2 linked regions of the Arabidopsis thaliana genome follow. Each later gene encodes a partner of the first gene's protein in a complex. Each region holds a gene or a part of one and is shown on either strand. Other genes may lie near its edges. A codon is read from its position in the direction of its gene.

Region 1 (6,017 bases):
TAAACAGCAATGTAAGTTATGTAAGAAATAATGTAGGTTAAGAAACAGTGATGAATGTAAAAATGTATACCCAATAAGGGGCAATGATAGGAGCAGGAGCGGCAAAAACTGGCTCGTTACGGATAAGCGTTGGAACGGAACGGGAAGACGAGGAGGAGGAAGATGAGGAAGAAGAAGAGGCGGGTGGGAGGCAAGCGACGGTGGAAGAAGTACGAAGAGAGAGTTTCTGGAGAGAAGATTGAGAAGGAGAAAGTGAAGTGAGAAAGAAGCCGGAGAGAGGAGCGGTCGACATTTGTTGGCGAAGAGAAGCGGAGATCAGAGAGAGTGAGATATGTGTATTTATAGTTAGAACTAAGACTCTTATGGAAGCTACTATATACTTAAGTGAATAATGGGATTGGTTGAAAGATTTGGGAGTTTAAAAGAACGGAGTCTCATGGTCATGGTGAGGTTGTGGGAACGAGGATAACGAAAGCGATAGCTGCGGTGAATAACAAACTTTCTTCTTTTCTTGTGGATGAGGAATATTAGCTCAAGATTTCAAAACTTTTACGTGCTCTTTTCTTCTTTCAATTCTTTTTTTTATAAAAAAATAAAAGGTCTCAGAAAGGTTTAGAGGATAAGGTCCCTTATCATGAAAACAAGGATCAGCCTCTTTCACTTACCCTCTCAGGCTCTCATCTTAAATAATCACCACCCACTTTAGATGTTAGGCCATTTGTTTGTGGTATACATATAGAAAGATCCATACTTCTCTAGGCTCTCTCTAGACCAGAGATTGCTATTGTATACACAATCTAGAAGATGCAAAGGATTAACATCGATCATGGACTGTTCTACTCTACGAAACAACAGACTCAGTGAAAACTCTTAGCATGAAAATGAAGAGGAAATAAAAAAAATAGAGAAGAAGGGTCTCTCCTCTCAGACCTTCCATGGCCATAAATCATCATATAGGCAACATTAGATAACAGAGTTTCTATTTTCTTCAACATGTTAGGAGAGAGCGAGAGAGAGAGAGAAAATGAAGAAGAAATACAGAGACCAGTAACGCATTAGGGTTGGTTTTGGGACTTATATGTAAAGTGGGCAACGGCGAAACTATGTCGACATTTTTTCATGCAAACACACAACATAATGTCAACATTCTCTTGTCATAGAGTGCGCGAATGTGGCAATGTTGTTCACAACGATATTAGGGTTAAGTACCTCGAGGAATGGATAGAGACAGAAGAATGGATGTAACATTTTAACTTATGCCAAAACAAAACTTCTACGACTTTGGGCATAGTCTTATTGGACAAACTGAGAATGCGATACACCGAGCTGCTTTCGCCAGCCTAAATCTTTCGCTCTCTGTTAACACTCTCTCGATCACCTTTATGATATTTGCATCCTGCAAAACATTGTACAAGTTGCTTCAGGTTTATGTCTTGAACCAATCAGGCAAATATAACGTGGAACATCTTATTCAAGCTTTTCCTATTGTATGAAGAAGAGACTACTGCATAGTAGGAGTAACCTTTCTTGGTTGTTGAATTGTAGGCCTGACGTTAGCAACATCACCAACTACAATTATATTGTTCGTGTTTCCTCGGTCATCTCTTTCCGTTGGTGAAGTTGCTGAATGCCTCCAATCACCGTTGATTATGTACTTGTAGTAGTATCTGCCACATTGTCAATAATCACCAAGTTATATGACACAAATGCATTTTCATAAGTTTCTTTGCAGTTTGCAATCCCTCAAAAGTCACAATTAACATGCAGGGAAGATTATGAGACGTTTTACTGTTGAACCTTAAAAAAAGCATCAACGGGAAAGGTAAAAGAAGCATGACTTACTTTCCCTGTGTAAGTCTAACTTCAGTTTCAAAACGTGGACCGCCTTTGTGCGTTGCTTTTATCGGTTCTTTCCAATTTCCTGTGAAATCCCCAACCAACAATACCTCCTCCCCCTGTAAACCAAGGTGTAACTTAAAACACAGAGGCTAGTTGCTCAACCCTACAGATCACGAGTTCCATAAAGAATTGCAGCAAAGTAATAAAAGCATGTGAAGCAACAGTCACCTCATGTCCATTCCACACAAAGGTTACAGAGTGTGTTGGAGTCCCATCATGTTTGCCATCGTCCACCATAGCGATAAGATCCCATGTTGCCCAAGCAATTGCAGGTCTGTGAAAAAATACATATAACTTGTCTGATGTTTTCATTAAAACAGAAAAGCTATCCATGGTCTGCAGGTTAATGGTCAAGACAGAGATAAGATGGATAAAAACCTGTCAGGTTTGCAAGCGTGCAATCCAGTAACGAAACTATAAGCAGCATGAAGAGAGGTATCAGTCATCCAGTGCAGATAAGCAATCACACAAGCGGATGACCGGTCAAAACCAGTGGTACAAGTTACAAAGACACGATGGTTCTTTTTCAGTAACCGTAGTAAGAGCCCAACACAAAGTGGTAGCTTCTTCCTAAGATCAAAGGAATCTGCATCCCTGGCACCAAAATATCAAAACTGATTAGAGCGGTAGGAAATGAAAGCATGAACGCACATAATGTGCCTCAAGGCGATATGACTTTGCATACTTTATAGGGTAGTTGATCATTAAGACTTCAGATTTCTGGCATGCATCATTGATACTTTGTGAATCGATCCCCCAGTTTTGAGCTTCAGTTCCACCTTGGAAATTTAGTATGGCAGTAATTCCCTGTAGAAAGAAAAGTATGGCCAGTTAAAACCATACTTTCAATTCTATCATTTGCATACCATAGGTAGGTAATATAAGTCATATAAAAGACTCACAGCTTCCGACAAGTTTTCCACATCCTCTTCTGTTTGTATGCAAGAGCCAACATATATTTGCTCTGTAATCTGAAAAAAGGCAACAAGAGAAGAATGGTGTTTGAGAGATTGAAGAGACAGAGAGAATCATGAAACAAGAGTAATCGGGAAAAAGAGACAAATTTCAGACCTTACTGTAGCGCATTCCAAGAGCATGGTTATAAGAAAGCTCTCCTTTAGAACGGTCAAGGGCTTTGATGTATTCCTCTAAAGGGAAATTCCCATAACCCCATTCCCCATCTCCAGGAACATCTTCTGAAAAGACAGAGACCAGTGGACTGATAGGTGGAGAAAGAATGTTCTTCTTAGTCCCTGACTGAAAGGAATTGCTCTGTCTATTCAAAAGTTTCCATCCCTGAGGAGTAAAGAATTTGGAGGAAAACGCAGCATAGCCAGAGTTACCACTGCCTTGTGATGATGCTCTGAGATTCGATGATAAGAGGTTTTTGTTCCAAGTAACAAAAGACACACGCCCTCTGTTATAGAGCAAATCAAGGTCGCTCAAATGAAGCAGATACTGAATGGGAAAGGGAGAGAATGGTCTTTCAAGAACAAGGCTAAAGGATCCAGTTTTCTCTACCAGCATCTTCCTGAATAAATCAAAAACTGGAAGAAATAAAAAAGAAAATTTCAAAAACACTGATATGCAAAGTGTTTCCATGCTAAATCTTCCCATGTTAACTAGTCACCAGCAATGTTTAGTTAACAACATTAACAAGTTATATAGAAGCCTAGTACTGTACAATTCTTACTTGGTATCACCAAAATCCTTGATTTCCACAAGAGTACCACCAGAAGAATCACTAGCCTTCTTGAGTGTATCTCCTACCATGATGATTCTCGCCTTCTCCGCATTGCTCTACAAACAAACAAAAAAGTTAATAACTTTTCAAAACTCCTGAGATTACTACTACTTCCACATGACATTCTAAGGATCGGAGAATACCCCTTTTTTGATGGCGTGGACGAAGATCTTGCCATCTGCTGAAAGTGCGAAGCGAATCCCGAGGGGCTTCTCGAGAGTGACCATATACTCATTCAAATTCATTTTGAACGGAGTAGAAGAAGACGACATCGCAACAACTCTAAGAACGACTCTTCTTCGTCTGTTGAATCCGAACTTTTCCCTCGAACCCAAGTACGCAATTCCTCTTCCGTCGAATACACGGCCATTACCGCTCCGGAATGAAGATCCGATCATAATTGACGGACAAGATCGTTCGAGAGCTCCTAAACCGGAGATTTGTTGAAGAAACGCCATTAAACCGATCCAATAGAGATTTTTCCGAGAATGTGTGTGTATGGAAGAAGTTGGAACTGTGAGCAGAAAACGAGGCGGCAGAGGAAGGTAAGAAAGAAATTAGTGGTCCACGTGTCTTCACGTAGGTCCCGCTTTCTCGTGGAAGTATCTAATTTCCTTTTTATCAACACATGACACGTGTCTTTTCCTCTCAGTGAGAAAAAAAAAATGGAAAAAAAAAATATCAAACGTTCCTTTGAGTCAACGCATTGAATTGGACTTCAATACACGAAACAAAAGTTACATGGAAATATTTATAAATACAATATTTAAACAAGTACCTAATTGCTATTATAGTAATTTTTTGTCCAGTTGTGTAAAACTATACAAATTAATTGAGCTTCAATTAACGACGTAACCCTCTAATCACGGCGAAAACTCCGATCAAATCTTGCCGGTAAGGCAAATAAGATTTTCTTCTCTTGTCACCTTCCCCGACCTTATACGACACCGTTTTGTTCTTAACTTTCACGGTCGGCGAGCTCCTCTTACTGGTGTCGCCGCCGCCGTCGCTGTGGCTCCTCCGCTTAAGATCCTTAAAAGTATAGCACCGTTTTGATGCACTTGAGGGCAAAACACCACCGTCGCTATGACTTCTCGTTAGAAATTTCTTCAAACGGCACCGTTTCGGTGTGCTAGTAGATGATTCTGAGTGTTTCGAAGCAGCCGGAGATCTGAGTGGACTCCACAGACAATTTCCGGGGAAACGCTCCGATATTTTTTCAGCGGCGGCTTCTTTGTCTGTCTTGTTAGTAGTGGAAACGACGTTGGTTTTGAACGTCGGGAAGTGGACGAAGGTTTCTTCATGTAACGGCGACGTTTCAAACTCGAAGTCAACGTCTTCGTCATTGACGGAGTTGACTTTAACGGACTCATGATCTCTGATATTGTAGCTTTCGTTTTCGCGGGAAACTTTAACTGCAGCGGCGGCGAATTCACCGGAAGCGTAGTAACTGAAGCTTGGGCTATACGACACCGTTGAAGAAAAATCCTGCATTGTTTTTTACGTCTTGTTTACGATTCGCGTCCCTGTAAACTTGCTGTGTCTATGTGTCTGTATATATAATGTCATTACATGTAACATGTGGGAGTGGTTTAGTTAGCTTGTTCGTCAATACTAGGCGATAAAACGTGGTCGCTTTCGAGGTATTTGTTTATGAGAATATTGAAATTATAAACGTCAATGCTGACGATGAGGGGGTAACCTAAAGTATGATTTTATTCTTATCAACCAACCAAATATGTTAGACGTGAAATCAGATTTGGCATAATCATTTTACGATTTCTGTAATTCTTTAAAGAATTGTGTGAACTCGTGATTTATTCTATTATAATAAAACCTATTCATCATATTCTGTGACTTTGCAAATACAAGAAATGTTTTTTTGCTGAATAATTTCCAAGTTTAACAGTTACAAACAAATGATTAGTCAAAATAACTAAAATAAATTAGTTATCATATGTTTCACTTTCACTAGGAGTCCAATAGTTGTTATCCTCTAAGATTAAACAAAATAAGCATAATTTAATCAAACGCAACTTTTAGCGAATTTATAAATGACTTTTCCGAACCTTGCTATAACAACTTTGCAATAAACATATTGTCTTTTGAACCCGTCGGCACTAAAATCTCCCTGACAAATGACTCAAGGCCAAATTAACATTCTTATTTGATAAAATTAGGCATAGAAACAAGCATGATTAAATAATTGTACCACATGCCAATATCCATTTCCCAACGAATAGCAACATTGAAGTCCATATTGGCATGTTCTGCCATATAAATTAAACATTGCTGTTGGAATTGTAATCTGTCATATTCTTCGAAGAATAATCCAAAGATTGCTTCTTTTAATTATCACTAAATATTATATAAA
Region 2 (5,965 bases), 8.4 Mb from region 1:
AAATAGTTGCCGAAATCTAGTTCAAATTTTGGAGAAATAAGATTTAGTGAATTGTAAAAAATGTATTTAGGTGCGTTTTGCTCATTTTAAGGAATTGCAATTGTATTTTGGTTTGTCAAACATTTTTTGTTTTAAATAGTTGTCAAAATCTAGTTCAAATTTTGGAGAAATCTGCATGATATATGGGATTGAAATATATTTGGAATGTTTTTCGTTTGTTAATCAATTTATTGCCAAAAAAAAAACAATAATTAAAAGCCAATGGCAACCATTATAAATAAATTCCAACTTCATGATTTATTTCACAAAATGACTGCAAAAATGTATATATATATATATATATATTAAATTGATATTTGTGAATTCTATTATATAACACATAAGTACAATTTACCAATAATATTATTTTGTTTAAAAATACATACAACCATAATCTTATTTCTACAACCAATTTCTTCAAATAATAATATTAAATTAATAAAACCTACAGCCTAATTTCTACAGCAATAAAATCTACAGCTACCACCATCACACATACAGCAAAAATTTTACAGTAAAAAATCTACAGTTACAGACAAACCAATCACACACATAATTTATCTATCATTTTATTGATTCAGAGTGATATGTATTAAAGAAATGCTATTTATTTTGGCTTCATTAAAGAACATGTACATCTTTTAGCATATATTAAAAGTAGTAGCATGCCACAACCTGACCGGAAAAAAACCAGAGCTGTGGCATACATTTCAGTTTTACTAACAATACATACACAAGCTCCAACAAGCCTAAACATCTTTTTTGGCATTGTCATATAACCATTTCATTATAATCGCATACAAACATAAACCATAGAACCATGCCACAATCTATCTCTCTAGTGAGTGAGAGCCACTGCAGCTTCTTGAACCAGCGGCTGAGTAACGTGCACAAAATGCTCAGCCTCACGCTCAACTTCTTCCCGACATCTATGTGAGTCTCTCCCTTCACCCATTTTCTTCACAAACGCTACGAATTTTCCCCAGTTATCCGCCTGAAACAACTCCGGATTCATCCTTAGGTAAGTAAATGCACACATCTCTCGAGGTTCTCCCTCATTGTTTTGATCAAGGTTCAGCGCGGAGGCCTTGAGAATCTGCTCGTGTGCATAGTCGTCGTACCTAGGCAATGCGTTTTCACCAGCTAGAGGAACTTCTGCGGCTAGAGTGGCTAGAGCAACTTGGTTAACTAGCTTCTCTGGTGCACAAAGTGCGTCTTGAGGCTGTTCGTGATCCCTCATCTCGATACATGTGAAGTTGAATATGGCATTGTGTCTGGCTAACATTTGGGCGATCGGGAGGTACCCGTCTCTGAACCTTGTGTTGTAGTACCCTGCTGTGAGCTCAGGCGCGTGAGAGCGGGTCCCGTAGTGCCAGTGGATTCCAGCGATTTTGACCGATATTTTGACACCCATGTTTTCGAATATTGATTTGGCTGAGGATAGGATCCGCTCGCCGTGATCCAACAGCATCTGGGAGTACCATGAGAGGAAGAAATCTCCATACTCTGAGTTCCAACCACCACCTTCTTTTTTGAAGAACTGGGTGTCTTCTGGCCAGTTATTGTAGTGACCAGCATCGGTTGGGCCAGTACTGCCCCACTCTGGCTTCCCATAAGTCTCAGCTGCTGCTTTCAAGCTGCTTAACGAGTACTGCATCAATCATAGCAAGGAAAACAGTTTAGTATGACATTCGTTGCAAGATGAATCAGAGACTATTCATGTGTGATTTGTGGTAAATACCTTATCATAGCACTGGAAGGCTCCAATCCCTGGGAACTTCCATGTCCCTTCTTGCTCGGGGTACGAAGGGTAACGCAGCTCTCCTGCAGGTCCCATTCCCACTTGGATTTCCTGTTAAAAAATGAATTCAAGGCAAACTCAGACTTCCAACCAAACATAGTAGAGAAATTGAGAGAGTTAAAGAGGCATGTTCTAAAATGAAACACGAAATGGATAAGAGAAGCTAAAACATACCACAATGGTCTCTCCAAGAAGATGCTTGAAGTTGTCTCTAAAAGCACGCATGAAATCCGCATAGCATTGCACAGGTGTTCTACCTTTGAGAACAGGGAGTGTATCAGCGCCAAGTGATATATACTCATGGTTCCTTCTTCCCCACTGATCAGTGTATGCAAGGTCTGGATCCTTGTCAACCTCTTCAACAACCCACTGAGGCAGAGGAATACTGGAAAAAAATAAAAAAAATTCCATATTAGAACATACAAAATCTCATTAGTGAATGATAAGACAATGACATCTTCACTCCTATATGAAGTAACTCTATATTCAAAACAAACAAATAACTCATTAGTCAATCTAAAAGAAACGTCTTTATACAGAATCCATCTTTTGTAATCAATCTTGAAAGAGACATAAAGGCCTCAAAGTTAAGAGTTTCGTAAGGAGAAAACAACAGAGAAAAAGACGAACAACAAGTCGCTCAATATTAAATTTAAGACTCTCACGCAACAAAGAAATAGATGTAACTCGTACACTCTTAAACCTATCACTTTCTTCTTGAATATTGTATCATCAATTCCCGTACACGTTACTCCATCAATCAATTAAAAAAATGAACAATCCTGCCTACTCAAACTTCAATCATTCAGTTCCAAAATTGGTCATAATCTCAAATCCTACTTCTAATCTTTCCAATCTCAAGTAGCCTTAAAAATGATACACGAATTAATAAGTGATTGAGCAAGAGAGAAGAATCACGTACGTGACAGAGTCACCAACGTTGCCACCACACTGATGAAACGACATAACAGCTTGAACCTTAAGACCAAGCTTCTTAGCCAGCTCAAGCAATTCATTATAACCTCCCCAATTATAAGTTCCAGGAGATTCCTTCTCAACCAAACCCCACCACACATCAATCATAATCCCTTCAACACCAGCACTCTTCAACGCTTGCAAACTCGCTTTCATCGCCTTTCTTCGATTCACCGTGTTCCCCATGGTAACACTATCAAGCGGCATCATCACAAACACAGGAACACCTCCTCCTCCTTCTTTCTTTCCACCAATCCCTCCTTCTCTATACGTTCTCTGTTCTTCAATGGTCCCGATTCCATTCTCCACCGCGAAAGCTTTACACGCCACCGACAGATCCGCACGTGTCGCACCTAAAATTGGACTCATCGGCGGTGATGGATCTGTTCCGTGAGCCTTGTAGTTTCGATTCATTGCTTTAGGTGTCATCATTCTCGCCGATGGTGGTGAAATTGATAACAACGATGAATCTGTCATTTCACCGGATTTGATCGGAGTTCCGGCGAGTACTCCTAGCTGATGCGATAAATTAAGCGCCATTTTTCTCTCTATACGCGAGAAAACGAATCAAGAATCGATCGTCAGAATATTCCTTTTGACAAATTTCAAATTGTTTTTTTGAAATCGGAAGTTTTGTGTGACGGAGGAGAGATCGGAGAAGGAGGAAGAGAAGATAATTTATAGGGGAAGCATAAAAAGGATAAGATTAAAATAATGTTTTTTATAGAATAGGTGATCGTGTGACACGTGTATAAACGTATGATGTGGATAAAGACACGGTTAAGATCTAAAAGAGTCAGAATGGACGGTGGGGTTAGCAGAGCGCGTGAACTTTCCAGCAGACGCGCTTTTAGCCTCAGAATATTTTTTGTGGTTACCAAAATAGAGTTTTATTTTATTTATTATTGTTAAGAGTATAAATATGACTCACGAGTTTATAGGTGAGATAAGCCTTTTTCTTACAAGCAAACGGTGATAGTGTTCTACAACGTTCTCTTTCATGAAACGTACGTTTTTCATATTGGTTTGTTATGTAAATAAATAAATATATGAAGGAAACAAATATGTATGTAAAAGTGAATATATACAAGTAGTGTTTTCCTAACGAGTCTCTAATACGTTCGTCTATTATCGTTAGAACAAATGGTTTAGGTGTTGGTTCGAGTTATTTCGAGAACATTTAGAAGCTGACCTATGAATCGCTTTACAAATTATTGCTTTTTGTCAACCATTAAAAAAATTATTGTTTCGAAACTTGAATGCTTTGCGCAATCCTTGATTTGTTTTGGCTGTCTTGTAGAGGCTTTTGGGATCAATTGAAGGGGTGAAATGTATTTATTAATCTACGCATGTACAACTTTGAGCAGAAAACAAGGTATCACAGTGGATACTTAGATACTAAGTGAAGTAGAGAATTAGAGATGGTCACATTATTTTTATTCCACGTGAGATCACATGATGTACAAGAATATGAACATATAAGCAAATTAACTAGTTTCTGCTATGTCTATGAGTATATTTTAGAGAATACGAAATCAAATCAATTTAATAACTCATTATAGAATTGTATCGTTGAAATAGGTATGTCAGTTTATTAGGGTATATTTTTAGACTGACTTTTTTTTTTTAATTCTGATGAATACAAGTAGTTTTCGATTTTTCTTCTCTACAAACAGTTTTTTTTTTTTTAAAAATCCTTCGATTCAAGTCAATAATCTAATATGCAATATTTTTTTATATATGTACACAATACTTTAAACATAAAAAGGAATATCCTTGACGAAAAAAGAAGAAAAAAATGTCTAACATAGATTAATAGATAATACACGGACACAAAACAACATGCACGAACAAACAAAATGTTGAGTGGTGGAGAAAGTAAACCAATATTGAAGTTTTCCTCTGTAAGCTTACCACGTGCCATGGTGATGTGGAGTGGCAAGTTCCCACCTTTTTGGGATGACTTTTCCTGAGTATTTAAATCAATCCAACGGCTGGGAATGAACCGATTCGTTGCTCGTCAAATCTTTTAGGACAAAAACTGTTTGCCTTTTACAAGATTGGATTATGGATTTCTGACAAAGACTAGAACCTTCTTTTCCTTTCATGAAAGATCAATGATTCGTTTAAAGAGTAATTAAGATGTGAAGTATTATTAATCTTTTACACAAAACGCAATTAGTAGAAACAGATTATGTATTTGTGTGACATGATATTAAGATCACATTCACATGAAAGAGTTGTTGCAATCCACTTTGATAACTGCATCAATCAATCTCATCCCTCTAGCTGGCAGTTTCTTCACCGTTCTTGATATTATTATTGACTCCATTTGATGTACAAAGATATATCCAAGTATATAAATATTCGATACAATCGGTACAATAAGAATAACTATATGTAAATATCAAAATCTCTACCCTGAAGTAAGGAAGATTTTTTATTGGACATTTTAATGGGGGCAGATTTACTGAAAGATAAAATAAAATAAAGCAGATGTGGCTACTAGAGGGTCGAATTTGGGAGCTGAGGGAACATACTCACTGATATATAATTATGATTTTGATTAAATTTAATTAAGTTTTTTTTTTCTTTTTTTTTAAAAGGGGAAGTAAACGTTACAGATTAAAATTAAAGAGTCTTCTGGTTCAATACGTTACGATTGGTCATAATAAATTGAACCGGAATTGCAATTAACTTCAACCCTCTGGGTCAAATTGATTCAAATAGAATTCAGGGGTTAATGTTGAAGAAAAGTATAAACCTCGGGGAGAGTTATGTTTCTCTTCCGTTTCTCTTTCACCTTTCCCATTTGAAAATTGAAATCGTCTTCTCTGCTTTCAACTTCACAACTACACTCTCTTCAGTTCTCTAACAGTAGCGCCAAAATGAATCCCCAAGACTAAAGCTTTCTTCAATGGAAGAAGAAACCCACGACGGATCTCTCGATCTCCAAGAGATTCGCAGGTTTTCTACTTCTCTTTCGTCTCTTTCTTTCATTGATTTTTGTGCTGCTTTGTTCATCTATTTGTTCTCATTTTTCTCAGGCGCGTGAAAGAGCTCGATTTCTTTCCCCGGAATTGCAGAGAAGAGCCTGTAGAATCGTGTAGTTCCGATTACGAGACTCTGGTGGTTCAAGATTTTGTTCTT

What was found.
Region 2: the proteins of LSF1 (region 1) and BAM1 are in contact, whole or in part, in a cryo-EM structure (PDB 8J5D), measured with the Arabidopsis thaliana proteins. Residues at the interface, in NP_566139.1 of Arabidopsis thaliana: Met72 (codon at 3,888), Asn73 (codon at 3,885), Leu74 (codon at 3,882), Glu76 (codon at 3,876), Tyr77 (codon at 3,873), Met78 (codon at 3,870), Val79 (codon at 3,867), Arg112 (codon at 3,681), Ile113 (codon at 3,678), Met115 (codon at 3,672), Lys122 (codon at 3,651), Leu131 (codon at 3,624), Arg157 (codon at 3,384), Phe266 (codon at 3,057), Pro267 (codon at 3,054), Glu270 (codon at 3,045), Tyr271 (codon at 3,042), Ala274 (codon at 3,033), Leu275 (codon at 3,030), Arg277 (codon at 3,024), Ser278 (codon at 3,021), Gly280 (codon at 3,015); in NP_189034.1 of Arabidopsis thaliana: Glu208 (codon at 2,197), Asp212 (codon at 2,185), Thr235 (codon at 2,116), Leu236 (codon at 2,113), Pro237 (codon at 2,110), Val238 (codon at 2,107), Lys240 (codon at 2,101), Gly241 (codon at 2,098), Arg242 (codon at 2,095), Thr243 (codon at 2,092), Gln246 (codon at 2,083), Asp250 (codon at 2,071), Arg253 (codon at 2,062), Tyr306 (codon at 1,690), Ser309 (codon at 1,681), Ser310 (codon at 1,678), Lys312 (codon at 1,672), Ala313 (codon at 1,669), Glu316 (codon at 1,660), Thr317 (codon at 1,657), Tyr318 (codon at 1,654), Trp362 (codon at 1,522), Gln365 (codon at 1,513), Met366 (codon at 1,510), Asp369 (codon at 1,501).

What each region holds. Positions count from the first base shown.
Region 1 is NC_003074.8:197,582-203,598, forward strand, and holds LSF1 (uncharacterized protein), read right to left. Parts: upstream 4,162-6,017; 5' UTR 4,102-4,161; coding exon 3,787-4,101; intron 3,731-3,786; exon of another isoform or gene 3,700-3,730; coding exon 3,593-3,699; intron 3,447-3,592; exon of another isoform or gene 3,431-3,446; coding exon 2,971-3,430; intron 2,871-2,970; coding exon 2,802-2,870; intron 2,707-2,801; coding exon 2,585-2,706; intron 2,494-2,584; coding exon 2,278-2,493; intron 2,174-2,277; coding exon 2,068-2,173; intron 1,956-2,067; coding exon 1,843-1,955; intron 1,668-1,842; coding exon 1,523-1,667; intron 1,397-1,522; coding exon 1,274-1,396; 3' UTR 741-1,273; downstream 1-740. Other genes in the region: CA1 (carbonic anhydrase 1), read right to left, coding at 71-292; AT3G01513 (uncharacterized protein), read right to left, coding at 4,487-5,137. UniProt on the Arabidopsis thaliana protein: Starch granule-associated phosphoglucan phosphatase involved in the control of starch accumulation. Participates in the regulation of the initial steps of starch degradation at the granule surface.
Region 2 is NC_003074.8:8,639,112-8,645,076, reverse strand, and holds BAM1 (beta-amylase 1), read right to left. Parts: upstream 3,897-5,965; 5' UTR 3,356-3,896; coding exon 2,763-3,355; intron 2,226-2,762; coding exon 2,015-2,225; intron 1,892-2,014; coding exon 1,781-1,891; intron 1,691-1,780; coding exon 878-1,690; 3' UTR 628-877; downstream 1-627. Other genes in the region: AT3G23910 (reverse transcriptase-like protein), read left to right, coding at 5,733-5,782, 5,863-5,965. UniProt on the Arabidopsis thaliana protein: Beta-amylase activity. Can use p-nitrophenyl maltopentaoside (PNPG5) as substrate only in reduced form. Can play a minor role in the starch degradation and maltose metabolism in chloroplasts during the night. More active on phosphorylated glucan.